Linked DNA regions of Alligator mississippiensis. The protein of the gene in region 1 purifies or fractionates together with the protein of each later gene. This does not show direct contact. Links are inferred from orthologs where the notes say so. Each region holds a gene or a part of one and is shown in the gene's direction. Other genes may lie near its edges. The genes, in order: LRRK2, EMD, DNAJA1 and RPL23.

Evidence for each region.
Region 2: the proteins of LRRK2 (region 1) and EMD purify together in Homo sapiens (co-immunoprecipitation; 3 studies listed by IntAct). This does not show direct contact. The link is inferred for Alligator mississippiensis from reciprocal best matches to the Homo sapiens genes LRRK2 and EMD.
Region 3: the proteins of LRRK2 (region 1) and DNAJA1 purify together in Homo sapiens (co-immunoprecipitation; 4 studies listed by BioGRID and IntAct, with this or other methods). This does not show direct contact. The link is inferred for Alligator mississippiensis from reciprocal best matches to the Homo sapiens genes LRRK2 and DNAJA1.
Region 4: the proteins of LRRK2 (region 1) and RPL23 purify together in Homo sapiens (affinity purification with mass spectrometry; 3 studies listed by BioGRID and IntAct, with this or other methods). This does not show direct contact. The link is inferred for Alligator mississippiensis from reciprocal best matches to the Homo sapiens genes LRRK2 and RPL23.

What each region holds. Positions count from the first base shown.
Region 1 is NC_081827.1:28,643,989-28,651,970, reverse strand, and holds the start of LRRK2 (leucine-rich repeat serine/threonine-protein kinase 2), read left to right. Parts: upstream 1-4,971; 5' UTR 4,972-5,022; coding exon 5,023-5,155; intron 5,156-5,241; coding exon 5,242-5,327; intron 5,328-7,982. UniProt on the Homo sapiens protein: Serine/threonine-protein kinase which phosphorylates a broad range of proteins involved in multiple processes such as neuronal plasticity, innate immunity, autophagy, and vesicle trafficking.
Region 2 is NC_081831.1:28,896,670-28,904,359, forward strand, and holds EMD (emerin), read left to right. Parts: upstream 1-4,690; 5' UTR 4,691-4,789; coding exon 4,790-4,871; intron 4,872-4,980; coding exon 4,981-5,064; intron 5,065-5,141; coding exon 5,142-5,222; intron 5,223-5,332; coding exon 5,333-5,419; intron 5,420-5,506; coding exon 5,507-5,577; intron 5,578-6,134; coding exon 6,135-6,184; intron 6,185-6,256; coding exon 6,257-6,488; coding exon of another isoform or gene 6,489-6,529; 3' UTR 6,530-7,384; downstream 7,385-7,690. Other genes in the region: SYP (synaptophysin), read left to right, coding at 216-337, 1,286-1,484, 2,272-2,463, 3,306-3,566. UniProt on the Homo sapiens protein: Stabilizes and promotes the formation of a nuclear actin cortical network. Stimulates actin polymerization in vitro by binding and stabilizing the pointed end of growing filaments. Inhibits beta-catenin activity by preventing its accumulation in the nucleus.
Region 3 is NC_081826.1:152,767,886-152,775,209, reverse strand, and holds the start of DNAJA1 (dnaJ homolog subfamily A member 1), read left to right. Parts: upstream 1-4,324; 5' UTR 4,325-4,369; intron 4,370-4,522; 5' UTR 4,523-4,535; coding exon 4,536-4,667; intron 4,668-5,067; coding exon 5,068-5,245; intron 5,246-6,949; coding exon 6,950-7,054; intron 7,055-7,257; coding exon 7,258-7,324.
Region 4 is NC_081827.1:166,214,746-166,222,560, forward strand, and holds the start of RPL23 (large ribosomal subunit protein uL14), read left to right. Parts: upstream 1-4,803; 5' UTR 4,804-4,894; coding exon 4,895-4,907; intron 4,908-5,882; coding exon 5,883-5,966; intron 5,967-6,367; exon of another isoform or gene 6,368-6,498; intron 6,499-6,561; coding exon 6,562-6,690; intron 6,691-7,248; exon of another isoform or gene 7,249-7,382; intron 7,383-7,815.

The sequences.
Region 1 (7,982 bases):
CGTGTCCTATGCCTCGCAGATGACACCTGAGTTGTGCTATGTATGGTCCGGCTTGAGACTGGGCCCAACTCGGCACACTGTTAGAGCTCATACTGCCCTGTTCTGGGCCTTACACATACCACTTCCCTCTCACTGAGGCCTCTACCACTCTGCCCGCTCTCACTGGGCCTCTTGCACCCTTGCTCCTCACTGAGCCACATGCACCCTGCCCTGCTCCCTGAAGTGGCTCCCGTAGGCCATTAGGCTTGTTTCTACACTCCTTGGCCAGCCAGCGTGCAGCCTTTTGGGCCTCTCTCATGACCCACACCTGAACAGTGGCCAGGCAATTCAACAAACACTGTGCTGACTTTACCCCTAGCCCATCACTTGGTAACTCAACCCACAGGTTCCACAATTGGAGCCAATTACTCACCCCTACTACTCATGGCTCCCTCCGAGTCAGCTCACTTGGCGCCAGGCTCACTTGCGGCCTCACACGCCCAAAAGCTTACCTGGGCCTCACCACTCACCCCCATCTCCCTGGGGCCTCATCACCCCCCACAGGCTCAGGTACCACCCCCATGGGCATGCCTGGCACTACTCCTCTTACTGGGCTCAGATGCCTCCAGTTGGGCATGCCTGACCCCACTACTCTCCACAGTCTTCCACCCCTACGGGCTCAGGTGCCACTCCCATCGGTATGCCTGGCTCTGCTCCCCTCTGATCTTAATAACCCACTAAAATAGGGGGGGCTGGGGTTTTAAGGCGCCCCTCCTCGCCTTTCACCAGAAAGGTAACTGGACTGGCATTCCTGGGGGACTCCCCAGCGGAGTGCAGTTTTCAGTCATACCTGTCGGGAATCAGAGCAGCCGGCCAGCAGCTGCCTTCTGACCCCCCCCACCGAAGCAGTAAAACTTTTACCTGACAGGCGGGTAGTGATGGATGGGGTGAAATTAACCAGGCACAGATGCGTGTTGGTTATAGGAGATTGTTTACTTACGTCGCCCAGATAGTGACGTGCGATGCAGGCTTAGCCTTTGTTCTGCTACAGTTGCATCGATTACAGTCAAACGTACGGGTTACAGCCAAGCAATGATGGACGTGGCGCCGAAAACGTGCTATCGTGCCTGCAGGGCTTTGATACGTCAAGATTTACGATGACGGGGAGTATTGACAGCTGATCAGACCATCAATCTACTCTGGTGATGGACTCAGGTCTCTCCTCAGAGGTTTCTCCGGGGTTCTCCATCTGGGCGGAAGTTGCTAAACTATTTATAGACAGAGGTGTCTGACGGAGATACCCAATGATGAACCGTTATGTGAAATCTTTAATTTTCTGGCAAGCAGCAGTTCTTTGTGCTCTCAGGTTGCTATCAGGTTACAAGGTAGTGGGTTAGGTTTTCTTCCTGTTACATATGAGGTTATGATGAGGGACTTACGCTTGTTTCTTGACCAATTGCAGGGATTTATGGCAGGGCTATACCCTTTCACCATGACCAGTTTCGTTTCTTGTTTGTGACATGGGCATAAATTATATACAGCTCTCTGCCAGGATTTTGTTTCAGGAGCAAGGATTTCTTTTTTAACCCTTAGTTGGCTACTTGAATGGTATCTCTTGCTAGTGGCATGGGCACTGATTAACTGGGTTGTGACAATACCCAGGACCAGGAGCCTCCTGCCATCCCCAATAGCTCCTGACCTTAACTCCAAGATGCTCCATGAGCAGCAGCATACCTGGGTGTTGTTGCTCCCTTGGCTGCTGGCAGAAAACTGCTGCTCTCAGCCCTGAGAGCCAGGATCTTAAAATGGCCGCCTCACCAGGGCTGGCCTACACTTGTCTGCTGCCTGCTCTCCTCAGACACCAAAGGTGCTCTGCCACCTATGTTCCCCCTTAAAATGGTTCCGGGGATGGGGGCTTTCCCTGCTGCTCACAAAGTAGGCTCACTCAGAGCCTGCAACAGCCCTTAAGTGGTGAGCATCCTGTTGGTGCTCCCCCCCACAAGTATATTACTGTGACACTGAGCATCACACAATAAATAATAAATATTAGCATAATCTCATAAAACATCACATGACAATAAATTGAAGGTCAACTACGTGATAGAGTGAAGCAGTGAAGTTGAGGTATCTATGTTTGTTGCTTGAGGGTAGTCAGGAGCCTCTGACTGAAGTGGATCTATTTTTATTCAACTGACTTTGTCATTACAGGTGCTTGCACTAGTCCAAATGAAAAGGCACTCAACTAGTTTCTAAAAATGAATCGCTGTTCCATGCTTAAATTACCCCAGGTCAATGTTTTGTCTTCTAGAACTTTGAAGGGAGATAAGATCATTCATCATGGCCAAATGTAGTCATAGTCTATGGTCTATAATTAAGAAATAGTACAAAAGTTTCTTTGAATGAGACTTAAGGTTGAGACAGTACCAGCACTACAACAAAAGCTGACAGCCCTGAGATTGGCTAGCTACTAAGTATTTGCAATAACCAGAGATCCAAATGCAGTTCAGAATGCTTGTCACTCAAAATAACCAACCTTTTTAATAAAGGAGACTTCCCTGAACTGATTGCCCAAGAGCCAAGCATTAAGAAAAAAATCAAGTTAGCTTCAAAACAGCCAAATATTTCCAGCTTTTGTTGTTATTGTTCAAAATGGCTAAAACATTAAAAACCAGAGATAAGCTTGGTGAAGTTATTCATTTCCTCCCTCTTTATTTAGCACAGTTCTGTGGGAACTAGTGTTCATTTGATGACAACTTACGAATTTAACTTCTAGCAATTTAGTGACAGCTGCCGGCAATTTAACTTTTCACCTTGCAAGAGCAGCGAAAAGTGCCAAAAATAAGGCAGTTAGAGGTTAAAAAAAGTTAGACAGTATATATAATGTTTAGCTTTTCTACTATTAGTTTTGCTCCATGTTTCCTTAAAATAGTTTGCTAATCATGGCAAAAATATTCCCATTTCTTATTCTTGCAAGCCATGCTTTAGGAATGATTTGATGTTTATTGGCAGCTGTTATAACTACTATGAAAACATGTCAGGTTGTGTGTTTGAAATTTATTAAATCAATGTGATTAAAATATTGTAATTTTAATTTTCTTAAAGGTGTTTACATAGGCACAAAGAAAGTGCACTGATTTATAACCAGATACCTACATTAAGGCTAGAAAATTTGCTTTGATTGCTTTTTGAGTTGGCCTACCATAAAAGGTTATCAATATTTTCTTTACTGAATTGACCATTTGTTTTGTGAAATTGAGTTTCTATAACTAGATATAATCAAGTGGAAGCGATTTTTCTTCTATGCAAAAGCTCTACAACCCCAGTCTGGGAAACCAGATCACAGACTTAGCTCTCCAAAAGACATGTCAGCAAGATGAAGGAGCACATCACTCTCCATCTCTTCCAAACACCCTTACTTAGTAAGCTTGGCTCTATTCACCCTTTTTACCACCTCAGTGATAAACCCCATGAGGCCCTCCAAGTCATGTTAGTTGGAGAATATCACCACGTGGTCCCCAACAGCCACACTGGGAGGTAAACAGGTCACAGCCCAGCTTGCTCCACCTTCAAAGGGGGTTGTCAGGTTGGCTGCATAGATCTCAGGTTTGCTTTCTTACCCAGCCCCCACTTAAGAACTGCTGTACTAGCTTAGGCTAAGGATCAACTTCGGTATCCCATACTTTGACAGTGGCAAATAATGGTTGCTTTCGAGAAACTAAAAGAAACAGGAAATTTGTAGAGTTCTATCCAGTATCATACCATTTTGGTGAGCAGCAGGTTAATGCTGTTTTGACTTTGAATGTTATAGACAATAGTCCCCTATAAACCTGTCCTCCATAAAGTACCACCTAACCCACTCAATATTACTGGCTTGAACATCCCAGGACAATGAATTTCACAAAAGTATTTTTGTTTTAGGCGACTCCTAGCATTGGATGTGGGTTAAGAAATAAAGCTGTGTAGAAGGATATTTTCACTGGTCAGGGACAAAGAGCAGAAGTGGTTGGGGAGGATCACTTTCAATTCTTCCCCCCACTTTAGGGAAGAGGGAAGGGGTTGTACTCTCATTATTTTATTCCGTCCCTGTAGTTCTCCCCCTTCTGTTATAAGCCACCCTAAGACTGTATGAAAAGGTGTTACACGTACACAAGGCTTGCTAGATTCAAGACCTAGTTCCACCAATTCTTTTTTTCATTCCATGGATTTTTCTAGATGGCGGTTTTCCCAAGCTGAAACCTTTCAGCCTTTTCAGCTTCTCCTTATTTGGAGGCCATTCTGCAGGCCTGACTGATCTTTCGTGCCCCTGCTCTTTTCCTTCGGCACTTTTCCTTCGCTACTTCCAGCATAGGAAAGTTCAGTGCGGACTTTCTAGGGACACAACAGTGTCTCTGCTTCATTCCCTTTCCTAGCAGCACTTCATATCCTGTTCGTCTGGTCAGCTGGACACTCACAGCAGCAGCCCTGACCTTGGAGACCCACCGATGACCCCCAATCCCCCTCTGGGGACGGGAACCCGCAATTCAGCCCCATCCCTGCGCGCAGCCGGGGCTGTGGGGTTGCTCAACGCAGTTTCATCTGCTCTTTCGTGGGCTTGTAACTCTTTCTGGAACCCTCTGCCTGGGTCTGCCGCAGCTGCGACTCGCTCCTCCCCTCCTCATGGCGAAGGCCCAGGCCCCCTCCCTACTCGACAGGCTGCGGGGCCCCGCACCGCCTCACGCCAGGGCTGGGAGGGCGACACAGCGCCCCGCACGCTCCCCCTCGCTCAGTGCTCTGAGAAGCGGACGGGAAGACGGGCGGGTGAGGAGACCCCACCCCCACGACGCCGACCCCCTCTGCCCAGCTCATAATAACAGCCGCTCGCCGCGGCGCCCTCCCTTATAAGGACGGGGGTGGGCCCGCAGTACCAGCGCCGCCACCCGATTGGACAGCACGGCTGTCAGTGGCACCGCCTCCGGGGGAGGAGCCGCGGCAGCGCCGCCTACAGGCGTCCTGGGGCAGCGCCGGCCCCGCCCGGGCGGGACAGATGCGGGGCGGCGCGGGGCCATGGCCGAGCCGCGGGACGAGGCGGCCCTCGCCAAGCTGCTCGTGAGGCTGCGGCACGTGCGGGACGGGCAGCGCCTGGACACGCTCGTGCAGACGCTGCGCGACCTGCTGGCGCTGGCGGCGCTGCCCGACGGTGAGACCGCCCCCCCGCCCTCTCCTCCCGTCCCCTGTCCCCCCCAGCCGGGCCGCGGCTGTAACGCGTCTCCTCTCCCCGCGCAGCCCCCGCGCTCTTCCGCGGCCGCGCCGCCCACGTGCCGCTGCTGGTGGTGCTGGACTCCTACGTAAGCGCCGCCGAGCTGCAGCAGGTAGGTGACCCCGGCCCGCGGGGGCGCGGCTCGGCTTCCCCTGGCGCGCAGCTCAGCGCTGCGTGGCCCGGGCTGGGAGCGGGGGGGACCGCGGGGAAACGCCGATGGGCTTTTGCGGCGTAACTCGGAAAGCGAGCTGGGTCTGAGCAGGGCGTCCCATCCCGTCCCGTCCCCCGCTCCCGTTCCCCTCTCATATGCAGCCTTCACATTTAAGGTCTAGGACAGCGGCTCCCAAAGCCTGACAGATGGCACCCCACTAGTTTAAAACGATACGGCCTTTACCAGTACCACCAGCAACTTTTTGTCCTATCGAGTCATTATAATACGTCTGTTAACATGTACTGCTGACAGGTGGTCTAGTACCTGTACCGCAGATTGGGAACCACTGGTGTAGGCAGTTCTGATTCGGACATCCCCACCTTCAATAGCTACCCACCCTCTTCCTCCAAAAGTTTGTCCCGGCCCTTTTTGCATCTAGGTAAATGGGCAACTGTCGGTGGCAGTGAGCGCCACACTTCAATGACTCGCTGCAGAAAAAAGAACTTCCCTTTTTTAGTTTTAAACTGACTACTTGGTAGTTCTGTTTTATGACCCCTAGTTCTTGTATTGTGAGAGTGAATGATAAATCCCTGTCTACTTTCTTTTTGCTGTTCAATATTTTGTAAACCCTTATCGTGTCCGCCCCCCCCCCCCCCCGCCTCTCTTTTCTAAATTGAATAGGCCTGAATAGCTTTCAGTTTTTCCAAACTGAATAGGCTAGTGCTGGTGGGAGCAGTCAGTCTTCTCAGCAGTCAAATAATTTGATGCTTTACCTTTAGCGGATGGTTACAGATGATACAATGTTTGGACGGGTGCTTTGCATTTAGAAAGGAAGTGGCATCATTAGAACCTTCTTGGTGTCTTTTAAAATGTCAGGTTGTTGACTTAAATTGTAAATAGCTGATCTAAGTAATGGGGAAAGAACAAGTGAGAATTTGCAATGTTAAAAAATTTTGATTAAAGCAGCAGTTGGGAACCTATACCCTGGGAGCTGGATCCAGCCCACAGAGCCGTTGGATCCAGCCCATGGAGCTGGATGGGGCTTTGGAAACAAGGGGCTTCTCCTGAGCCACCGATGGGCAGCAGGGAGAAGTGCTGGCAGTAGCCAGGTATTAATTCCAGCTTGCCTTGGACCCAAGATGGATCACTCCAGCCTGCTGCCCAAAACCTTTGCCAACCACTGGATTAAAGCATGAATTTGTGTCTTTGCTTCATTCTATGACGTGTAGTTATTACAATAATAATAATTCCAACTGCTGCTTTAGTTTGAGAACCTCTAAGCATTTTGCAAATAGGAAACATTTAAGAAATTAAGTAATTAAGAAATTAAGTAATTAAGAAAGATATGGGGATTCATCTTCAATCCATGTTAAGAGTTGAACAGTGATTTAATAATACTTAGCCAGGTTGCACGAAAATTTAGAACAGGAAGGGAAAAATATCACATCCTACTGAAACCACAGAGGGAGTTTTCAGAACAAAATGGGGAAGAAAGTAGTTACTTGAGAATTTGGCCAGGTAAATAAATCCATTATTCTTATCTCCGTACTTAATGTAACCTTTAGTTTCAACTTCAGTTTTGAGTATCTTAGCTTTTATGAGTCCACATTAGATTTTTAGGGAGCCTCCAAACAAGTGTTCACATGTGTTTCGCCAGGGCCAAATAGTGGTGCATAGGAGTGCTATTAGTATGTGTCCCTGGGGAACACCTGTGCATGCGTGCTGTGGCACATGGCAAGTTGCCCCATGTCGGGAAGGGGAGGCTGGGATCAGCACACCTACCCTGTCCTCAGCAGCCTTACCTAGGTCCAGGGGTCCCGGGGCTCCAGCAGTGGTGATCCGAGCACACGGAGCCTGACTAGAAACTGAAGAATGGCTCCGGTAAGCTAGGCTCTGGTTTTGGGTGGCACATGCTGCCACCATGTGTGCCACCCCACTCTTTTTTTTGGCATGGGTTTTTAAATTAGCAGTGCAGCGAATATCTGCACGTGCAGTGCATTTGGTTTGTGGCACCACTGACGGGTCTGTGGTGCTGCAAATCCCGTGTGCACTCGTCTGGATGCACTCTTAGGGTGCCTTAGTTTTATTTTAAGTGGTGAATCCTCAGCCAGTGTGGAACTCATATCTTTAAAATGCTGTAATTTCACTTTCCCCACTTACTATTTTCATAATATTTTAGAAGTATAATGCACTGATGTATTCGGTGCTCTTTGCTATGTCTGATATGAGTCAAGCCCAATAACTGCGACATTTGAGGCTGAGTTTACTGCTGCAGTGGTACACTGTAGTCCTGGATTTTGAAGCAGTCTGCCTACATTACTTTCCAGTTGTCTGGACAAGTAAATGGATCAGTAGCTCTTCTGGTTTTGTGGCACTGAAATGAATGACCTGCATTTTTACCTTTGAGTAAGGGCTGCATTTGAGGTGATGAATATATTTCCTCCTGGTTCAGCTGGTCACAAAATAACTTGCTGTGTTGTTGTCCATCAAGTGTGCAAAGTAGAAGTCTCCTTGTCTCCTCCTTTCAGATTAATAATGTGGGCACCAATACAAGTTGGACTGTGCAAGAAGTCCTCTTCTTCCACTCTGTAAGAAGTGGAAAACTTTTAGATTTTA
Region 2 (7,690 bases), on another chromosome or scaffold:
CCTGGGCTCCCTGGGAAGGGAGAGGGGGCTAGGCACCCAAATGGCTGGGATCTCTGGCAGGTGAGTGGGGTGAGGGGTGGGGGAGGTAAGAGCAGTGAAGACTGGGAGCCCAGATGCCTGGGTTCCCTGGGAGAGGAATGGGGCTGCGAGGTGGGGGTAGGGAACCAGACACCTAGGTTCCCTGCCTGCTGTCCCTCACCCTGTCCACCCCCCAGCTCTTCGCCATCTTCGCCTTTGGCACGTGCGGAAGCTACTCGGGGCAGCTGCGGGTGAGCGTGGAATGTACCGAAAACCGCAGTCACAGCAACCTTGATGTCCCCATCGCCTACCCCTTCAGGTCAGCTCCATGCTGGGCAGGGTGGAACTGTCCAGGGCCCACCAGCAGCATGGCATGGAATATAAGGACCAGCTAGAGATGTTACATGGGATATAAGGCTGGGGGATGGTGTTATACTGGATGAAGCCCATGTGGGGGCACTACTTGGGTATAAGGACCAGGTGGGGGCAATGCATAGGGTGTAAGGCCCAGGGGAGACCACTGTACTATATAAAGCCCTGGCAGGGGAAGTGCATGGAGTACAAGGTCTGGAGGAAGGGATTATACTGTATAAAGACTGGCAGGAGACAGTGCATGGAGTATGAAGCCTGGTTGGGGGTATTACATGGGATACCAGGATGGGAGGGAGCATTATATAGTGTATAAGGCCCAGGGAAAACTGTTAGATTGTACAAGGCCCCATGTGTGATGTAAGGATTAGGAGAGGGCATTATATGGGTTATAAGGCCCAGGGGGAGGTTACAATACTGTATAAGATCCAAGTAGGGACATTACATAGAGTATAAGGCTAGGAGAAAGCTGTTATACTGTATATGGCCATGGTGGAGGTGTGGGGGAAGGAGTGCATGGGGTATAAGGCCCAGAGGATGGCAGTATATTCTATAAGGACCAGCGGGGGCATTAAATGGAATGAGGGAGGGGGGTGTCCTTTGGTTCATACAGATACTAGCCCTAGACTCCACCTCCAGCAAACTGCAACAGGTGTCTCTGTGCCCAGCTGGTCCATACAGGCATTATAGGGCCTTTCCCTCATCCATACGGGTAGTATATGGCCTGCTCCTTGTCTATATGGGCACTTTAGGTCTTGTCCCCCCAGTCTGTATGGATGCTGTACTGCTCCTTCCAGGTGCCAAATGGGGCATATGGGCACTATAGGGCCTACCCTGGTCCATAGGGGCCATATATGGCCCTCTCCCAGTCCATACAGTTGCTATACACTCCCTGCAGGCTTCACCAGGTGTACTTTCGGGTACCGAATTGCCAGGGGGGGGAGCCAGAGAAGGTTTTCCTGGTGGGCGACTACTCATCCTCTGCTGAATTCTTCGTCACCGTTGCTGTCTTTGCCTTCCTCTATGCCCTGGGTGCCACTCTCGTCTACCTCTTCCTGCAGGACAAGTATCGCCAGGGCAACAAGGGCCCGGTTATTGTGAGTGACAAGGCTTGGGGGGCAGGAGAGGGGTGGGGCCATGGGGAAAGGGACAGAGCCGGGGACATTGGAAGTAAGGCTGCAGGAGGGGATGGAGCCAGGAGAAAGGGGTGGAGTCAGAGATGGAGGGGGTGGGGCAGTGGAACCCTGGAGGGGCCAGAGGCATTGGGGGTGCAGCTAGAGAGGGGTGGGGCTGTGGCTGGAAGGGAGGGAGTCAGGAACATTGAGGGTGGGGCATTTTGGGAGGGCAATGGGGGTAAGGGGTGAAGCCTGGGGCCTGGGCAACAGAGAAGGGGGTCATAGAGGAAAGGGTGGGGCCTCAGCATGGTGGATGGGGCCTCGAGGAGGGTCAATAGGTAGGGCAGGGCCTGGGTGTTGTTATGGGGGGGCCATGGGAGGGGTCATGGGAGAGTGAGGGATGCCTGGAATAGTTGGGGAGTTTTGGGGATTGGAATGATTGGGGTGGGGGCAGGGGCTGGAGGGGGCTCCAGAGCCTGTGGGTTTCAGTGGGGGCTGGGAGGACTGTGGAGGATTATGGGGGCTTTGGGGGATTCTGGGAGGACTGGAGTGCCTTTGGCGTGGCTGGGGTCTTATGCAGGGGCTGGAGGGCCCTAGAGGATTCTGGGTGAGGGGGGGAGTGTGCTGAAGGTAATTCTGGTGGCCTGTCAGGTTTTATAAGGGGCTGGGTGTGCCCTGAAGGATACTGGGGAATCTGCGGGGGAGGGGGGGTATGGAGGGTTGGAGGGGAAGCCATGGGCATCCCTGACCCTCCCCCTGACCCGGCCAGGACCTGGTGGTGACGGGCACCTTTGCCTTCCTGTGGCTGGTGAGCTCATGTGCCTGGGCCAAGGGCCTGGCCGATGTGAAGGCAGCGACAGAGTGGAGCCAAGTACTGGAGGGGGCCAAGACCTGCCAGCGTAAGGAAGTTGTCTGCCACCTCCTGCAGGCACCTGTAACCTCTGGCCTCAACACCTCTGTGGTAAGAGAACCCCCAGAATCAGGACTCTCAAGATTGGGTCTTCTCTGAGATGTCCACCAGGATGGGGACCCTGAGCAAAGCCACAGAATCAGGTCCTCTCAGGATTGGTCCTCTTCCCCCTCCAAATTAGGCCCCCTAGGAACAGACACCCCTTGGGAGCCCCCAGAAGTAGGACCTTCCATAGGATTGGGACCCCTGCAATGATCTTGTAAGCCCTGCAATACCCTGTGACCCCTGCCATGACCCCTCAGGTGTCCCTTGATCTCCTGGGGCCCTGCAACCCTAACTGTTGTGATGCCCTGTGATCCCTGAGGTGGTCTCTGCAGTGACCCTCTATCCCTGGGGTCCACTTTGCCCCCTGTTGGAACCTGAAAATCCCGGTGCTAGTACCCCTGATGATGCTCTTTGCCCCCTGCAGTGACCCTGATTACCCCAGTATTGACTTTTGAGTCCTGTGGTGACCTCTGTCACCTAAGGTGCCCCTTGGCATACCCCCAGCAGTACCTTCTGACTGTCAGTGCCCCTGACAACCCTAGTGGTGCTCTGACCCTCACAGTGACCCCAGTGATGCCTAACTTTTGGGGTACCCCAGCAGTGCCCCAATGACACCCCCCCATAGTCTGCTTTGAGCCCAATGGCCCTTGGGGTACTGCCAGTGGTACCCATTGACCCCTGGTGGTACCCCAGATGACCCCGGTGGTGCCATTTGACCTTCATGGTGCCCTGATGACCTGCCATGTTGCCCTTTGACTCCTGTGCTTCCTCCTGTGATGCTCAGTGGCCCATAAGGTGTCCCTGGTGCTGCCCTTTGACTCCCAGCACTGCCCTCTGACCCTTGGCAGGTGTTTGGCTTCCTGAATCTTGTGCTGTGGACAGGCAATGTGTGGTTCGTGTTCAAAGAGACAGGCTGGGGAGCACCGTTCGCCCGTGCCCCACCTGGTCCCCCTGAGAAGCAGGCAGCGCCTGAGGCCTATGGTGCCCCTGACCCCTATGGTGTTCCTGACCCCTACGGTGCTCCGGGTGGCGGCTACCAGCCAGACTACGGTGCTCCTGATGCCTATGGTGCCCCCGCTGCCCCAACAGCCTTCGCCAACCAGATGTAGCTGGTGAGTGACTCCCACTGTGGCCAGGGCCTGGGGGAGAGGGTGTGGCCATGGGGTGGGTTCAGCAGGGGCAGGGCCTGTGAGAGCAGATGTAACTAGGGGCAAGTGCACAGAGGGGCTGGGCTGGGGTGGGGTCAGGGGAAAAGGAGGTGTGGCCAGGGCAGGTTGGAGGAGGAAGGGGGATGGGACAGGGTAAAAAGGCGGGGCTACCATTGCCATCACCATGTTTCTCTCCCCAGGTCTCCAGCCCCAGCAGGGGGCGTCGAGATGTGCCGCTGCCCCCCCCCCCCCCCCCGCAGCCCTGGGGGGCCTGGGGCTGGATCGGGACCCTCACAACTGCCCCCAGGCCCCCCAACCTTCTGTACCCCCCCAGGCCTTCGGGAGTGTGGGGGCGGGGGGGAGACGCCCACACGTGGGGCACGCAGGGGAGGGATGATGGAACCCTGGCGCCCCGCACCCCCTAGCTCTCTATTTCTCCGTGTCTGTTTTGTGCCGTGACTGTGACTTTGGGTTTGTGGCCCCTCCCTCCCAATAACCCCCCACCCCAGTATCACCCCCGCAGGGGGCATGAGGTAGGGGAGATCATGACGTAATTATTAAGTTCCCCCCCCCCCCGGCTGACCCCTGGCCCCCTTGACATGTATCGACCAAAAAAGACAGGGGAAAAGGGGAGCGAGGAAAGGAATAAAAACTGTCGAATAAAGAAGAGGGGAGAAAGGATCCGAGGAGCCGCCTGCTCTGTGGGGCGCGGGCGGGCGCGGGGGTGGGGCGTGGAGGAAGCGGGCCGGGGTGAGTCGGGCGGGGGGGCGGCCGGTTGCGGGGAGCGCAACGCCAGAGCTCCTCGACCCCGCAGAGAGCCCGGGTGTCCCGACATCGCCCTAGAGTCCGGCGGTGCCCCCGACACCGCTCTGCGCACGCTTCCGTCTCTGAGCTCCCCGGCTGGGAGAGAACCCAGGTGTCCGGGCCCACCCAGCTTCACCTCCCTGCGGCGGCGCTCGGGCTGCCGTGGGGGACTCTGGGTAACGTAGTTTGGGGGTGGGGCCGCCCCGCTTCCCGTCACTTCCTAGTCGTTGCGGTTCCAGCTTGGCCCGGCCTGAGATCGAGACCCCTGCCAGCTCCGCCGCGCCCCCTGCTCCCGCCCCGTAGCCTCTCTTCCCAGCCCGCGGAGCTCCCGGAGACCCCGACGCCTGCGTTCAAGCTCCCCCACCCCTCTTCCGGGCAGCATGGAGCAGTACCAGGGCCTGACGGACAACGAGCTCATTGCCAAACTCAAGAGCTACCAGATCTCGCACGGGCCAGTCGTGGGTATGAGGGTGCGGAGCCACTGGGGTCCCGATGTGGGGCGAAGGGGGTTGCGGGTCGGGAGTGAGGGGTCGGGCTATGGGGGTTCTGACCCTCCCACCCCCTCGCCCAGGCTCCACACGGAAGCTCTACGAGAAGAAGGTTTACGAGTTGGAACGGCAGCGCACGACGCAGGGGGGCCCGGGGGAGCCGCCAGGTGAGTGACGGGTGAGGGGGGAGACGGGGAGCCCCGGCCTGGATTGATTCGCCCTTGTTCCCCTCTCCCCCCTGCAGAGCCCCTCACTACTGAGAGCTTCATGAGAGAGTTCTACAAGTACCCCGAGGACGGGGCTCGGGCCCGATACCCGGCAGAGGGTGAGCGGGGCCTGTGGGGCTCTGGCAGGGGACTGCAGGGCTGGAGTGAGCGGCACCGTTGGGGTTTTTGGGGGCTGGGGGTCAGACTAACTCCTCCCACACACCCTTAGACCCGAGTCCCTCCAGGCTCTACATCCGGGAATCCTACATGACACCAGACCACTCCGTACTCCCCAATCGTGGCTATAGGCGCGAAGGTGAGCTGGGGAGCTGGGCCTCGGGTTCCCCATTGGTGGAGGAGCTGCGGTCGCCCCAGGTCTCAGCCCCCTTGTGTGTCTCGCCAGATCTGGATACCTACCAGGGCTCCTACACAGAGGAGCCCCCTGCCCGGCTTTACAGCGACCCGCTACGGCCTGTGAGTGAGGGACACATAGGGCGGGGCCTGCGGGACTGGGGGCGGTGGGGCGGGGCCGGGCCAGGGACACACCCAGAGAACCTAGGTGTCCAGGCACGCCCAGAGCACGAGCATGCGGGCTCCCGCATGCCGGGCGCACGCGATTCAGGGACCCCCCCCTGATGCGGGAGGTACACCCCGCTGCTTGCTTGGGGAGCGGCGCCGAACACGGAACCACACCCGGTCTCTATACATCACTTCCCGTCCCGGGTCGCCGCCTCCACTGAGGAGAGACCCGCCGCCACTTCCAATGCAGGAACTCCAGGGGCTGCCCAAGATGCCCCGACCCGCCCCTTCCGGGGACGCCGGGGCCTCATTTCCAGCATTGACCCTAGCGCCCCCGGCAGCCCCCGCGTGGCAAATATGCAAGCGATCTGCGGAGATGCAAATAGAACCCGCGCGCCCCTCCCTCCGGGGCGTGGCTATGAAAATGAAGGGTTCTTCCCGGAGTGGCCTGTAGAGGGAGGCGTGGGGCGGGGCCGGCAGCGCTGTTGACTGGCCGTGGGATCTCCCCGCAGGGCAAGGAGGAGCCCGGCGCCAGCAGCCCCTGGGGGGATGCTATTGAGAGGTGAGCGTAGGTCTGGGAGGCGGGGCGGGGCGGGGCGGGGGCGGTCCCCCACTCATCGCTTTTCCCCTTCAGGGACAGCACTGCCTACCAGCGCGTGGCGCCGCGCCCCTCCATCCGACCCGGGTCCAGGGGCGGGCCGGGCGCGGGCACAGGCGTAGCGACTCCCGGCGCCCCCCGGCGCTTCCTGCCTCTGTGGCTGCAGCTGCTGGTGTTCGGGGCCGTGGCCGCTTTCCTCACTTTCGTCTACTTCGCTCTCCAGGGCGGCGCCAGCGACAACCCCTTTCCCCGCAGCCTACAGGGCTGAGGGGCCGCGGTCCACCCTGCTCCCCAACCAGAGATTCCTAGGAACCCCCCTTCCCCACAGCCAGCCCAGCCGCCCGCATCCAGGGGCCCCCAGGCACTGTTGCACAGACCTAGAGACTGCCCACACCCAGGCCCCAGCCTCTAACACCAGGGCCTCCATAACTGGCCCCACCAAAACCTCTCAGGGGTTGTCCAGGCCCACACATGCACCCAGGAACCCCTCCCTAGGACATACTGAGGATCCCTCCCCCCACAGCTGGAGCCCCCCAATACCCAAGGACTTTCTCCTACACAGATCCTGGGGAACCCTCCAAAACTTCCCATGGACCTCCCATGGGACCTCCTTACACCCTGAGACCTCCTCCGGGCACCCTGGGGACCACTCCCCTGTATTTAAGGCCCCCCATTCCCTCCTAACCCCCCCTCAAGGTGCACTCAGGGATAGCCCCACACTGCAGAGACCCCCCCATCCCCACTTCCAATGGGACACCCCAACTACCAGAATCCTGCCCAACCAGCCTGCTCCCCTGGTAGTCCAGGGACTGCCCCCATACACAGACCTGCACCCTGGATCCCTCAATTTCCCCCAGCCACCCCCCCCCCAGTGCCAATCCTGCCCCTCCACTCACTCCCAGCCCCTCCCACCCTCAGGCCCTAACAGCCACCCCCAGGTTACCCCCAGCCCTGCCCCACTCCAGCCCAGAGAACTCAGTCATCCCGGTTCCCACCCTTGCAGGTGGGGTAAGGCAACTCCTATCCCCCCCCAGTGGAGAAGTTGTTTGGGGGTTGCCTAGCAACAGCTGTCTTTCCATGAATCGGAGGTTATTTTGTGCCATGTGGGGCGGGATCCATTATTCTGGGGGCAAAAAAAATCCCAATAAAAATGTGGGTTTTTTAGTTTCATTGTCACCTCATTTCTTGTGGGGCTGGGTGGGAGTCCCGGCGCCTGGGTTTTCTGGACTGGGAGGCGGGGTAGAAGTAATGGTTGTGCCTGAGGAGGTCCCCCCAAATGTGTGTGGGGGAGGGGCGCACGCACACACACACTCGCGCTCCCTTCCGCCCCCCGTCCCCCCCCAGAAGTGAGGTCTCTCTTTTACACGCACCCCTTTCCACCGTCCTTCTCATGCTGGGGATGGCCGGACCGGAGCCCAGGTGACAAACACCGCCCCACCTGTGTATGTCCGAGATGCGCACAGACAAACG
Region 3 (7,324 bases), on another chromosome or scaffold:
AGATACTGATACCCAGAGGACTTGAAATACCCAGAGGAAAGTGAAGAAGTGGAAGATGACAGCTCTGTTGAGAAACCTGAGGAGGACCAGAATCTGCACAGTGTGGGCCTGTGAGAGCAGCTTGGACTGATGGGAGTGAATTGTACTGACGACTTGGAATGACCAGCAGTGGCTGGAGATGTTCTGAATGACAGGGAGACGTTCTATCGTATTGTTTCAGTGCTGGGGCCCCACCAGACAAGAGGGTTGCTAGGGCAATCATGAAACTGGCCAGCCCATCCAGCCTCCGCTACGTTGCGAACCAGCTTGGCGTGGCTGCTTGCATGGTCAGGTTGGCAACTTGTGAGGTATGCCAGCTGCTAAAGGAGATCGCTTCAAACAAAATTATCCACCTGGTGAACCCGCAGCAATTCACAGATGGGTTCAATGACAAGGGATTCCCTAACTGCATGGGGGCATTTCACATCCCAGTGCTGTGCCCTGTGGGGAGGGGGAGGGCTTTCATAAACAGGAAAGGATATGCCTCCATGATCCTGCAAGCTGTGGTGGACCACCAGGGCTGGCTCTCAAACATTTATACTGGGTGGGCTGGCAGCACGCATGATGTATGTGTGTTCAGAAACTCCCCTCTGCCTGGCCTCGTGGAGAAAGGACACTACGCACCTGGCGTGGAGGAGACAGTGATCCGTGGTGTTGCTGTTCCCCGGTTGTATTAGCAGATGCTGCCTACTCCCTAAAGCCCTGGCTCATGAAGCCTTATGGAGGGAATGTCACCAACATGCAGAAGCTGATTTTTTAACTACCACCTGAGCAGTTGCAGGATGGCCGTGCAATGTGCGTTTGGCTGACTGAAAGGACGACGGAGGGCGCTTATGTGCCAGCTCAAGATGGAGCCAGAAAATATCATGGCCTTTGTAGTGGCAGTCTGCATGCTACACAGTATCTGAGAGCCATGGAGATTTTCAAGGAGTCGCGGGAAGAAGCAGCGCAACAGGCAGTGGCCAGACAACAGAGACGTGTCCAGGCTGCAGCAGCACAGGGACTGAGGAGAAATCCTCAAGGAGAGGCTGGTTGGGTGTCCCTTGTGCATGATTGTCTGGCGGGATATATTACTGACAACAACACCTAAGAGCGCTTTGTTCTTTCTCTTGGTTATGTTAAAATAAATTGATTTGCACTTTAAATCTGTGTCTGTAGACAAGGGCGTGCGGTGTTGCGGACGGGGGGGTTAGAGGGGAGGACGGTCAGGGGAAGGGGTAGGAAATGTGGACTGGGCTAGGGGTTTGCTGCTTCCAGCCTGTAAGTGGTTTGTGGGGGGGGCATTACACACTATCACCTACATCTGAAAAAGCCCCCCCCACCATGTGGGCAAGAAGGTTAACTATAGCTTTTGGTGGGCTAGGTGGGTGGGGGACGAAGCTGAACAGCAACCCACATTTTCAAAAACATTTATAAAACATTTCATAACACACCCCCAAAAGCCATGTGACACTACACAAACAGACTGACGGTGGTACTGGGCAGGGAACTGGAAGGTTTCAATGGGAGCCCCCACTGAAAACTGCATGAAGATCAGTGAGCTCGGGATGCTGGGAAATGTAGTCCAAAAACACCAGAACAACAACAACAATAAACCACAGAAGAGCTCGCCTGCTCACTGCCACCACCAGCATCATCGACAGCAATTGCCAGTCAATTAGGCAGCAACAAACACCCACCCACCCACTACTCTGAACCCTGAACATTTGGTGGTATTATAGCAGCTATAAAGTAAATAAAAGAAAAAGCACATGTATTTGTAACATGGTGGGATGGGAAGGGAAAGGAACAGGATGGGAGGATTCACAAGGCTTATTTTTGGAATGGGGATTGTGATGGGGGTCTTTGGGGTCGCATACTGACGGAGAGAGACTAGACCGACCGACCGAGCATAGGTGGATGCAAGTAACAAGGTTTTTGGGGTGACTGTGCCCGGGGGAGACTCCCAGTGAGAGGCCAGGGGCGGGGACAGGGGAAGCAGGCTTACATGTGCCTCCTGCTGTAATACATTAGGAAAGACATTGGGGGTGGGGGTATATTGGTATTTGACCTCCCCCTACTGAATCTGCAGGCAATGACACAGGAGACTTAAGTCACTCAAAAGCGCCATGTCGTGCAAACACAAACGCACCGCACCAAAACAAAGCCGGGTTAAAATTTTCAGGTGCGCTCAACATTAATCCCTGTTTCATCTACACATGCCCCTAGACACTCATGGCCATTTTATTACATAAAGTCCTCCCACCAGAACACAGCATACAGACCCCTTAAATAAGGCTCGTGACAAGGAGCGCATTTTTTCTATTGCTCTCTCAACTGTCCCACAATCTGCCCTCCCTTTCCCTAGTCTCCCTTCATGCTCTTGCCAGCATCCTCGCCTGAAGGACAAGAAGTCCTGCCAAGGGCTGGTAGAGGAAGACAGCAGGAACAGTGGGAAAATGGAGCAGTAGGAAAGAGCTGGAGGAAAATGACAAGTATTACTGGGTTGCGACAGGTGAAGCAAGCATAGGAATGGATTTTCCCAGGGTGGAGCAAGCTGTAGAGATCTCAGTGAGAAGAGGAAAATAGAAGATGATTCAGATACACAGCAGGATAATGGGACATCCCTCAAGCACTCTGAAATGTGTGTTGAGTAAAAAAAAAAAAAGGCAGGGGGGGCAGCAGAGAATGAAAGAGATAATCAAGCTGCACGATCCAACAGGGACGGGCTTTCTAAAATTCAGTTTCTGATACTGAAGGCAAGATGAAAGCAGGAAATGGTGCTATAGGAATGTGTGCGAACTTCTACCTTCAGCCTCTCAGGCATTCTTGCTGACAGTCACAGCAATTATCGTTTGAGCATTTACTTATGCTCAGCATTGTGCAAAAGCAGAGGAAATATGGCGCCTGCCCTTCCACATCCAGATTTCTACAAGCAGAATATCTATGCTCTAGAAATGACAAGAGACCACTGATTCGCTTCACAAAGCTTACTGAACAGAAGTGAGAAATCACCTATTTCAGTCCTGTCGACCCAAAGACAGCAGGGAGGGCTAAAAAGCAGTCCAATATGCATTCAGCATATATACTTGTACCAGATGTGCTCTTGCAAGGTGCTCAACCATTTTTACTAGCTACTGAGCCTGCTTTATTTCAGCTGTCTCCACATAAGGGCACACAATCTGCTGCTGAATTGGGTATTAAGCATCTCTGTTTTGGGGTCCTACTTTGTAATAGCTAGGCTTTGGGCCTCTCCCAGCCCTCAATTCTGGAAGGCTGTTTATTTACATATATATTATCTTCTGGATGGCCCTTCTTTTAGGAAGAAAGTAAATGCTGGGAATATCAAACTACTTCAGATTACAAAGCCATAACGGCATCCAGCTAAAATAAAATGTCATAATCTACAATGTTTTATCTTTACTTGTATGCATGTCACTCACCTTAGGGCAATCGCAATCGGTTTCGCATTTCTGTTCTTATGGTGTTTGCCTACAGTGGTGAACCCCCACCGTGTTTTCCAATGGAACTAGTTTCACCTTGAACTATTCCTCCGCTCAGTGCTGGGGGGGGCTCATTTGCCATCTTTCAAACCGAGCGGGCAGGTTGTGCAACGATATAAAAGGAAGTCTGTGATTGAATTAACTGAGCCCCGGAAATCCGGCCTTTCTTTCCTCAGGAATACTTGGTGCACACAAAGGCTCCCCGGGGAGCTATGTTAGCCACCGCCCAGCAGGTGTATCTGCGGGGTTTTTCTCCCCTAACGAGGTACAAAACGTACCTCGTTACCGGTCCCGCATAAAGTCACGGCTCTGCTAATGCACGGCTGTGCAGGGCGGCATCCCAAGTTTCCTTGCATGGAGCGCTTCTACCGCCAGCCCGAGAGCGGTGGCGCCTTGAAACTTGCAACTCTGGCATTTTGCCTCATTTCTGCATCGCCCCGCCCGTGTTTCAGGTGCTTCGTTTGGAAACAAGGTTAAACCAGGAAATACATCACACAACCCGCGGCGCGGGGCGGCAAAACTCCCAGCATGCACCACACCCCCACCACCCCACTCGGCCACGGCGCCCGCTGGGAGTCGTAGTCCGCCAAGCGGCCGCAGCGCACGCTGGGGGCTGTAGCCGGGCGGCCCGAGTCGGCGGGGTGAAGCGAGGTCAGAGGCTGCCATTGGCTCCCGCTCCCGCGCTCCGCCCCCTCCCGCCCCCGGCTACCCGGCAACGAGGGGACGAAGCTTCCGGGGCGGGGCCTCCCCGGCTACAAAAGGCTCCGGATGCCGAGCCTTGTTTGGAACTTTCCAGAAAAGTCGGGAGGCCGCGGGAGCCGCCGGAGCCAGCGCCGCCAGTCAGCCAGGTAGGGCGCTGCTGCTGCCGCCCCGGGGTGGGGGTTGGGGGGCGCAGCCTTGGGGCCCACGCGGCGCTGTCGGCCCTTTGACCCCGGGGTTGCTGGGACAGGCGCGGCGCGGCGCGGGAGGTGCTGCGCGGCTGACGGAGGCGGCTCGCGCAGGTCGCCGTTCACGATGGTGAAAGAAACGACGTACTACGATGTGCTCGGCGTGAAGCCCAGCGCGTCCCAGGAGGAGCTGAAGAAGGCCTACCGCAAGCTGGCGTTGAAGTACCACCCCGACAAAAACCCCAACGAGGGCGAGAAGGTAGCGACGTGGGGGGGAGGGGAGAGGTGGGAGCCTCGCCTCGCCTCGCCTCGCCTCGCCTCGTCTCTCTTCTCTTCCCACTTTCTCTTTATGAGAGGTGCCTGCAGGGCTTCCCTGTGGGTGCTTTTGCTCGGGTCCCTGATCCAGGAATGCAGCAGAAGCACCAGGCCTCTTCCCAGCTTGGGTTTCTGGTTGTGGCTGTGCCTGAGCACAGCGGGAACGGGGGGTGGGGAAAGTTCCCCTGTAAAGGCTGGCTCGGTTGAAGTTTGTTCACCAGCTCCAAATGGGCTGCTGTTTTAAAGCTAATAATTGTTGGTGTTAAAGGGATTGGGGGGGGGGAAATGTCTGGTTTTGTCACATCTCCTTGTGGATTTAGTTAATGTGCTGGCTTCTGTTGCAGTTCAAACAGATTTCTCAAGCATATGAAGTTCTTTCTGATCCCAAGAAAAGAGACTTATATGACAAAGGAGGCGAGCAGGCCATTAAAGAGGGTGGTTCTGGCTGTAGCTTTGGGTCCCCCATGGATATATTTGACATGTTCTTTGGAGGAGGTGGAAGAATGCAAAGAGAGAGGCGAGGTATGCAACCTTTTTGTCATGTTGGGTACACTGGCAGTCGAGCATATACCGGACCCTCCCTGAATACAGTTGAGAGAGATCATACTTGCTTCTGTTAGAGTTCAAGAAAAGACAAAGATGGAGTGGCTACACTTTTTAATAACTAAATGGTGCCAATTTTCCTATGCTGGTGCTTGAAAACAAGAAAACTATCACAGTAATCTAAAGCTTATTTTCTGAATGTTTAGTGTATAATGAGTTATAATACTAACTTTGTATGAATAGTAATAGGTAGGTGTCACAAGACATCAGTGGTGTCATTGTCTAAAACTTGAGGTTTGAAGATTAAGCTAACTGTATGTGCCAAACTTTTCTAAAGAACATAAATACTCTTCTGGGTCGGAACAGGTCCGTCTAAGGCAGTGGTGCTCAACCTCCAGCTTGGGTGGTGGGGCATGTCTTGCATGGGGCTCCCTGGAGGCCTGAAAATCTTGTGGGGAGGTAGGGGAAACATTAATTGCTGCTGCTCTGGATTAAGTTACAGCACTTTAATACAGCCACAGCTGCCATACTTCCAACTTCTAGTCTTAAACCTGTGGAGTGCCCTGCAGGTCGGGTGACATGCCCCCATGCACTAGATCTAGTGTGTGGGGCTGGGCTGGCATAACTGCAGCCTGACCCTCCTTTGGATCTAGCCTAGGGACTGATTCCATGCATCGGATCCAGCTGGCAGGACTAGAATATAGAGTACCACTGACCTAGGATGGTATCCTTGTTTTGTAGCAGAGTAGCAAGAAAAAACTTATGTAGGGCCTCTTGGACTGATCTGTCTCCCTTCCCTCTTCCCTTAGAGCTTCCAGTATTTAGAGGTTTGGAAGTTATAGTTTGAGGTGGTTATTTCATCGTATTTATAATGCACTAAATTGTCTAGTTCTTAATTTAGCCTAAGCTTTTTTAAGTGATTTAACAGATTAATGTTATTTAACTAGAACACATCTTTATATAATTCTTCCTTACGGGGGGTGGGTGGGGGGGTGTGTGTGTGTGTGTGTGTGTGTGTGTGTGTGTGCGCGCGCGCACATGCACCAAGGTGTGACTAGTACAAAAAACAGTACAGCCATAGACTCCAAATTTCATGTTACATGAAGTAAGAAGTTGCTGCTTTTTCTCCACCATGTTGAATGGTGGGGGGAAATGTTAGCATAGGACCATTATCTTTTATTGTTAGTACTTTAATAGTGCTATGTTATGAGTCCTATGCTTGCTTGCTTTTTTATGTATTCTAATATAATAAAAGCCTTAGTCTGTCTGTAATGCTGTATCTGCACTCTTGACTGGCTGCTGAGACAACCAATCACAATACTGAGGGAAACAACCAATCAGAGTGCTCCAAGAGTGTTCCAGACAGGAGGCAGTGCATGGCAGAGTGCTGCCATGATGGCAGAGTGCTGCCATGATGGCAGAGATGGAGCCTTGCTCCCTGGAGGCAGCATGGGATGGTGGAGCAAGCTCCCTCCCTCCCCTCCTATCCCCCACCCTGCCTGCTTTGTCCCTATACCCTGTCATTCCTGATGGGCAGTTGGCTTGTGTTAAAGTATTTTCCTTTAGTAAATGTGCTATGTTCTGAAGAATTGGGTCTTAGTTGATTTCAGTTGAGAAATAAGAGAACAAAATCTGATTAGCATGGAATTACAAAGTCTGGAATAATGAGTGTGTTTTTTACAGGTAAAAATGTTGTTCATCAGTTGTCAGTAAGTTTAGAGGACTTGTACAATGGGGCAACAAGAAAACTGGCTCTGCAAAAGAATGTGATTTGTGACAAATGTGAAGGTAAGTTTTCTGTACTACAGTCTAGAACTCCAGGGAACTTGTTAACTGAATTCCACTAACTCATTTTTTGTTTATCTTTACAAAAAATTATGTTCAGGTGAAAACAGTTGTTTTCAATAAACTAAATAAGTGTACTTTTGATATGTTTTATTTGGAGTTCATTTCAGTTGTCAAATCCTTTCATTCTGCTGTCTTGTTATCAGGTCGAGGTGGTAAGAAAGGTGCAGTGGAATGCTGTCCCAACTGCAGAGGTACAGGCATGCAAATAAG
Region 4 (7,815 bases), about 140 Mb from region 1:
TACCCAGCATTTCATAAACACCCAGCCTGGAAAAATCCAGACCCTTCTAGCTGTTCCATTATTCAAATGCAAAAATGCTGACTCCATCCTGCTTGCTTTAACTAAACTTCAACTCTGCGACAAAGCATTAGGTTATAGACATGCTTCTGCCAGGTATCTAGTTCAGTATCCAAGCTTGATTATAGCTCTCAGAGCTAATAGATTCAAAGCCTGATGTGGGAGGCTGGCAAAGCGCAATAGGTTAGTGTACAGGAAATTGTGTCCTAAATTCTGCTTGCCATGTTGCAACAAAGCTAGCCTTCAGCAATCTGTGTATCATGTTCCTCATCCAGAAAAGTAGAATTGCAAGAGCTATTTTATGAACATAACAATTATCATTTCCACCAACCTAGCAGGCTTGGGGGATACCAAGCCAGTCTACCTCTGAACAACCCATTGCTGCCAGCTCTACAAGCTCATGATCTGCACAATCCATCCTCCTGTCCTTGCATTCCTCTCTGGGGGACAAATGGCAGGACACCCTAGATGAGAGCAGGGATGAGGGTCCCCAGTGGACAAGTCTGTATCCCACAAGCCATTGGCTCCTCCATGGAGCTGTTGCCATGGGCACATATCTGGCACATTTTGTGGACACCCCTGACACCCTTCTGCCAACTGAGGGAGACCCTGGTACATGCCTACCTGGAGTGTGCCAGGCTGCAGCTTCTCTTTTGCCTTCTCCAGGACCTCTTGCTGAAGTTCTGGCTGTATTTCTCCCTGCATCTTTTTTGTTATGTACTTCCCGTCCACTGTGCCACCAAGTGCTGGGACTTCCTGGTCAACCTCCTCCTGGCTCTGGCCAAGCTGGCCCTCTATAAGACCAGGAAGGAGATTCGGGCCAGGGCAACCCAGGTGAGTGTGCGGCTGTCTTCCTGTCATTCCTCCACTTATGTCTCTGGATAGAGTTTCACTGGTCGTGTCCACAGGCTTCCTGCTTCCTCCATTCAGGGGGCGGTGGGTGCTGGCCAGCGTGCTCTGCTTGGATCCCTTCTGAATCTCTTGTAATTAACCTGTGATTGTCTCATTCCTGTTTTCTTTTTAGTTGTCCCAAGTAATCAATTGATGTGTCTCCAGTAGACTGTCTTATAAGGGAATCTTACAGTTGTCCATGATGGGCCAAAGCCCATGACCCCATAACATATCAAATAAGCCTGTGTTACAGAGAGGCAGAGAGTGGATGCTGAAAGGGAGAGGGAACTGGGGATGACCACTGTTCCCATGCACTTGCAGCAGCATTTAAAGTAGGGGTGGGCAAAATATGGCCTGTAGGCCAGATTTGGCCTGCCAATGGATTTTATATAGCCTGCAGCAGGTCTCTCAGCCCTGCCTGGCCCAGACAGGGGTGCAGCCCAGCCTGTGGTGCAAGCACTGAGCAGCCAGTCCTGCTGTCCCTGGGGCGTGCAGTGGGGCTGGGATGGTGTGGCTGCCAGACTCAGCTTCCCAGCAGTCCTGGCAGTGACAGGTCTGCTACCAGTGTCACCGCTGCTGCCCAGGCACCCTGGCCTACCCATCCAGCTCTTGGACTCTGCTCCCCACCCACCCATGTCCCTATCTCATCCAGCTGGCAGGGGTCCCAGGCTGGTCTCCATGGAGACCCCACCTGCCTGCTCCATCCAGCACCCCCAGCAGTGGGTGTGGGCCAGATGGACTGGGGCCAGTTAGGATCCATTCCCACCCCTACGCTCCCCCCCATCCCAGGCCGAGCCAGCACTCCCCCACACCTGCCCTGCAATAGCTCCCCAAAACTCCTTAAGTGGCCCTCCAACCCAAATAATTAATCACCCCTGTTCTAAAGGACTCTTCAGGCTGGAAAAGTGCAGGCTCAGGGTGATCTTGTGGCCACCTATAAGTTTATCAGGGGTATTCACCAGGATCTGGGGGGATGACTATTCACCAGAGCGCCCCAAGGGATGACAAGATTGAATGGTCATAAACTGCTCCACAACTGTTTCAGGCTGGATATAAGGAAGAACTTTTTTACTGTCTGAGCCCCCAAGGTTTGGAATAAACTGCTGCCAGAGGTGGTTCAAGCACCCACTTTGAACGCCTTCAAGACACACTTGGATGTTTATCTTGCTGGGATCCTATGATCCCTGCTGACTTCCTGTCCCTGGGGAAGGGGGCTGGACTCGATGATCCTCCGGGGTCCCTTCCAGCCCAAATGTCTATGAAATCTGTGAAATAAAGGATGCTGCAGTGCAATTTGAAACCGCGAGACATTGATGAGGCTGAAGTTGGTTCCTAGTTACTAGTTCCTGGTTTGTTTTTCAAAGGTAATCTGTACACAATTTACAGTTTTTTCCACATAGGGAAAAAGAATCAATACCCAAAACAACTAATATTTCCTAAAGAGCTGAACAATCCATGTAGCTAGTGAACAAGTATAAGATTTAGCACAGACTTATTGCCACAAGGGGGTATAGCTCAGTGGTAGAGCATTTGACTGCAGATCAAGAGGTCCCCGGTTCAAATCCGGGTGCCCCCTCGTTTTTATTCTTCTAGAAATAATGTTTGCTAAATGAATAGGAAGGATTTTTATAAATACCCAGCATTTATGACAAACCCAGGCAGTTGTAGTCATCCCTTTATTCAAACTCAAAAATGCTGACTCCATCCTGTTTGCTTTAGCTAAATTTTAAAAGCCTGCAATAAAGCTTTGTGGTTATAGACCTGCTTCTGCCAGGTGCTGTAGTTAGTTCAGGATTGACTGCTTCATTACAGCTCAGAGAGGTTACAGGTTCAAAAGCTGGTGTGCCAGCCAGCTCACCAACACTCTTAAGTGGTCCTCCAGCCCAAATAATTGCCCACCCCTACTTTAAAGTCTAGGAGCTGCTCTTTATAGATGAGGCTGAAATTGGTTCCTAGCTCCTTTTTTTAAATAAGGAGCCAACTTCAGCCTCATTATTAACTGAGGGTGCATCTACACCAAACTTACTTAGAAGTAGACTAATTAGCTCCAGAGTAAACAGTCTCAGTGTCTACAGATGTAGGGCTATTAGGCTAGCATAAACTAATAAACTCCACAGCAGGGCCTTGTAAATACAAGTACTATCCTGCTGCAGAGTTTTTTTACTATGCAGGAGCACTCATGTAGATGCTGACCAGCTGGCTGGGGCACAAGGGTGCTTGAGTAGGGGGGTGCCTGCTGGCCAGCCCCACACTGGAGCACCATTGTGCCCCAGCCAGCCCCCCTGCAGTACATTGAGCCAGGCCAGAACACCCCAAGCTGGCAGGCCCCCTGACAGTCAGGGATGCTCCAACCTTGCTCAGTGTACTCCCGTCCTGGGCACATATGTAGATGTAATAAACTCTAGCGTGATAAGTGCCAGAGTTTATTGCAGCATATTAATATAATATAATATCATATAATATTAACATGCCCAGAGTGTTTTAATTCAATCTGATTGGAAGGAGAAAGGGTTGGAAGAAGGGAGGTCATGTTTAAAACTATATCTATTTCTGAATTCTAACCACCACCAGAAAGGCATTCAGAAAGGCCTTATTTGGGGTCAGATTTTGCACAGCTCCTGCAATACAGAAATCTCTGCAAGTCTTGAAACATCCTCTCTTTTTTTCTGGATAATTGATGTTTCCACTCTGCAGAAACCTAACAGAGTTTTTATTGAACCTCGTCCTCTTTTTTCATGCTCCTGCACTTCTGGCATTTTTCCTGTGATCATTTTCCATCTCCCACAAGATTACCTGTTTTCTTTCAGAACTTTTAAAAGCATGCCTCAGTCGCATGCAATTGCCTCCTTACACACTGCAAGAAGACTACGCCTTTCCTCATGATTTCCTCAGCATCAAGTTAAAACCTTAAAGCAAATAGGGTGACTGCGGTTGTTTGGAAAGGAAAGCCAGGTATCACACAGGCAGCGTTGCATGATTGCAGTTTAATGGGTGGGAGGGATCCTCTTTCTAAATTGATTCCTCTGCATTGTATCCAGGGGTTATTTTATAAGGCATAAAACTGAGCAAAGGGTGTGTACACATGTACTTTCTGACAGTTAAGCTGAGGTTTTTTTTAAAGTCACATGTACATGGCTCAGAGTTGACTTAAATGCGGGGCAAGATGATACACCTCTGAGGTGTATTACCTTGGGGCACCTATACATGTTCATCGAGGCTGCTCCAATACACTGCAACTGCAGTGCATCAGCGCAGACTCGATCAATCAAGTCTGCTGGAGCGTGGTAATTACCACATTCCAGCAGACTTCAGCATCACATGTATCAGCATCCCTGCGCTGAAAAATGGCAGCTGGGGCACTTTAATTAAAGCTCATTCAACAAGCTTTAATTAAAACGCCCCTGCTGCTATTTTCCAGCATGGGGATGCTGACACATGTGGGGCTTGAGGCACATTAGAGCTGTAATTAAAGCACCCCCCACTTCCAAAACAGGAGTATATATCAACCTAGCTCACAAAATGGATGTCACCGAGTCAAGATGTGCATGTTATGCTCTGACCTGGTTTAAGTTGACTTAGTTAAGTCACCTTATTTTAAGCCAGTTTAGCATGTGTGCACGCCCAAAGGTAGTAGCCCAGGTACAATGGTTAAAACTCCAGGGCTAGAAACTGTACTAAAATACACGCCCCACTCAACCCCGCTAGCCCACAAATGCTGCAGAGCTGAGGTCGGGCTGGGTCCACGCAGAACCCGGCCGCGAGCCTGGGCTGTAGTGCCCCCGGCTGCCCTACAGGGGGCGCGAGCTGCCCTTCGGAGGTAGAGCCATTCCCTCGTCACCTGACAAGGGAGCTCGCCCCTCCCCTCTCCGACCTCACGCAACGTCCGCGTCATGAATGAATATCCCGTCGTCCTTTGCGCCGCCTTCTCTCTTTCTCCGGAACCAACATGTCTAAGCGAGGTGAGGCCTGGCGCGGCCGGCCCCGGCCGGGGTGAGCGGCGGTGCAATCCGTCGCCATCCTCCGGCCGCGCGGGCGGGGCGGCCTCGCCACCCGCGGGGATGGGGCGGGGGGAGCCCGGGCTCCCTGCGGGGCTGTGTCTGGTGCGGGCAGGGAGCGGGGGGACGCCCTACGGGGCACGGGACTGGGCGGGGGGTCCCGTGTGCAGGGGAGGGGTCGGCAGGCAGGCACTTAAGACTGTGAAGCCCCTGGGTTTTGGCTGCGTGTCCGGCAGGGAGGAATTAGTGAGCAGTGGTGTTGGGGGTGGGGGGCTGTGAAGACTGCAGGGGGTGTCCTCGAATTGAGGCCCTAGGCTTGAAAGGGGGAGTCATGGAGCCCATGTGGATGTGTCCTCCGGGTTGAGCATTGTCCAAGTCAAGCTGTCCTGGGCCTGGAGTGGAAATGCTTGTTCTGCACCGAGATGCTGAGAAGGGCAGAGGAGAAACGCTGCTGCTTTGTAAGTAAGAGTGGTGATAGGGTCTTAGAGGTGGACCCATGAAAGTTAGAAGCCTGCTTCAGTTTTAGTTGTGTGCATAGTGCCCAGACACATTAAAATGGCATCGTTCTCGGTGGAGGAATCTAATCAAGATTAATACCGGTATTTATTGCTGTTCTCTTTAAATAATAGTTGTATTTTGTTTAGCTCTTACAGCTCTTAATTTGAGCAACAGCAATTGTATCTTTAGGTTAATATTATTATGATCTGACTTATTAATAATCTTTTGACTTCTGTTTGGGTGTGCGAGAGTCTTTGAAGCAAAAGAAAATAACTGCTATAAAAGTTCTAGGTCTGTGGAGCAAATGTCACGTTACAGACTTTTGAGAAATATCTACTGAGATGAGAATTTGGCTTGTGACTAATGCATAAAGTGAGTGTGAGTGACAGTGTGAGTATTCTGGTCCCCGGTCATGTTTTGTCCTCTGTTTTTAACCTGCAGGACGTGGTGGTTCGTCTGGTGCGAAGTTCCGCATCTCCCTGGGTCTCCCTGTGGGAGCTGTGATTAACTGTGCAGATAATACAGGTGAGGCAGTTCATCCAGCACTTCTCTCCCCATTGGGCATCATTTCTTTTTGTTAAGATCAGTTTCTGACCACTGGTTTCTTAATCAGAAGTCAGAAATATTTCTGGAAACAAGGTGCAAGTCTTAAGGTGATTAGCCCTTGGAAGATCTTATAGTGGATTCTCCACATAGTCTTTAAAGTAAGCTTGGATTGATTTCTAAAAGATGTTCGAGCTCAAAAATGAAACTACAGGTGTGATTTTTTTTCTCATCTAATTATCCAAAAAATCTGATTTGATGATTAGAATGGGTCCATCTGCCCTTGAATACTGTGAACCCCTTAACCTGCTTCAGCCAATATTCAATTTGCTGCTCATTAACAAGGCCAAGAATTTCTATCCTGTCTCTGAAGCAGTTGCATCTCCCTTCTTAAAGCACTTGCTGGGTCTTTGTTCAGTGGCTCAGGGAGTTGTCGTGGAAGGGAATAGAAAGACACCGCTTTTGGGTGAAGTGGCAGCCTGTGCTGTTAACTTCAATCAGTGGTGTGACAAAAGTCTCCAGGCTTTTCTGTAGTGGGTTGGCTAATGCAAAGGGTTTCTTTTTATTTCCTCTGTAGGTGCCAAGAACCTCTACATTATCTCTGTGAAAGGGATTAAGGGACGTCTGAACAGACTGCCAGCTGCTGGTGTAGGCGACATGGTTATGGCTACAGTCAAGAAGGGCAAGCCTGAGCTCAGGAAGAAGGGTGAGTCTTGTCAGGGAACAGGTTGTGAGTTTGTCTGGTGTATACAAGGGCATTCTAATAGAATTGGTAGTGAGTTGATAGTGTGGGTAGTTCTAGGCATAGGTTGTCTGCACAGAGTGGAAAATCCTGCCTCTGAGCCGTAGGATATCCCAGAAAGCATTGTTCCACATTGCTCTGCCTGTCTGCTCCAACCATGGAAGGGTACTTTATTGTCCAGGTGCCTAGAAGGTACCAGTGAGAACACTTTTTAGGTAAGGTCGACAATATGGTATGGACACAACTTTGTTGTGTTACACCAGCAAAAATGAATGCTCAGTGATTATAAAATACAGTTTTGCATGTTGTAAAATTGTAACTGCAGAGATCATAACACTACAGCTGGTGCCCGAAACACAACCAGGATTCATGTCAGCGCTTCATCTCATCAGGCCTCCTGACATTGATCCTCTTGGTGCGTTGTAGACTGACCTTCATGTATAGGATAGAAAGCCAGTTCTTACAGGAGGAGCAGAGCATACTCTTTAAGAGAGATGGGAACTAGGCGCCCAACAGCATCTCCCCCTTCTGAAAAGCACTTGCTGGGTCTGTGCTCAGTGGCTCGGAGTTGTCGTGGAAGGGTATAGCAAAGGCATCGCTCTTGGGTGAAGTGGCAGCAGCATGTGCTGTTAACTTCAATCAGTGGTGCGACAGTCTTGATGGTTCCCATTTCAGATGTCCTTGGTAAATAGTAGCATGCTAGGTTTTCTTGTTGAATACTATGCTGAGACCTTGCATTTGGTAATGGAGCTGATTTTGCCTTAGAGGCTCTCTAGACTGCTGGGTTAAAATATGAGGATAGTAAAGTGCTCATGTAGATTCAAAGGTAACGTTGCTTTGAGCTAGTTTGTTTTGAAAAATACATTTTAAGCTGCATGCTTCCCTCTGCGTTGCACAGAGAAAGAAAGCCTGCTCCTCTGATGTGTACTTAGCTGCTCTAAAACTAAATAGCAAGGGCTTGTAATCAGTGTATCTGTATAAAACTGTTCGGGATGAAAACCTGCTTTAAATGCATGTTGTAGTACCAGCAAAGGATATTGCATTGAGAGCCTAGAGGAGTCTAGGCTGTTCTGGATTCAAGGCTGCCAA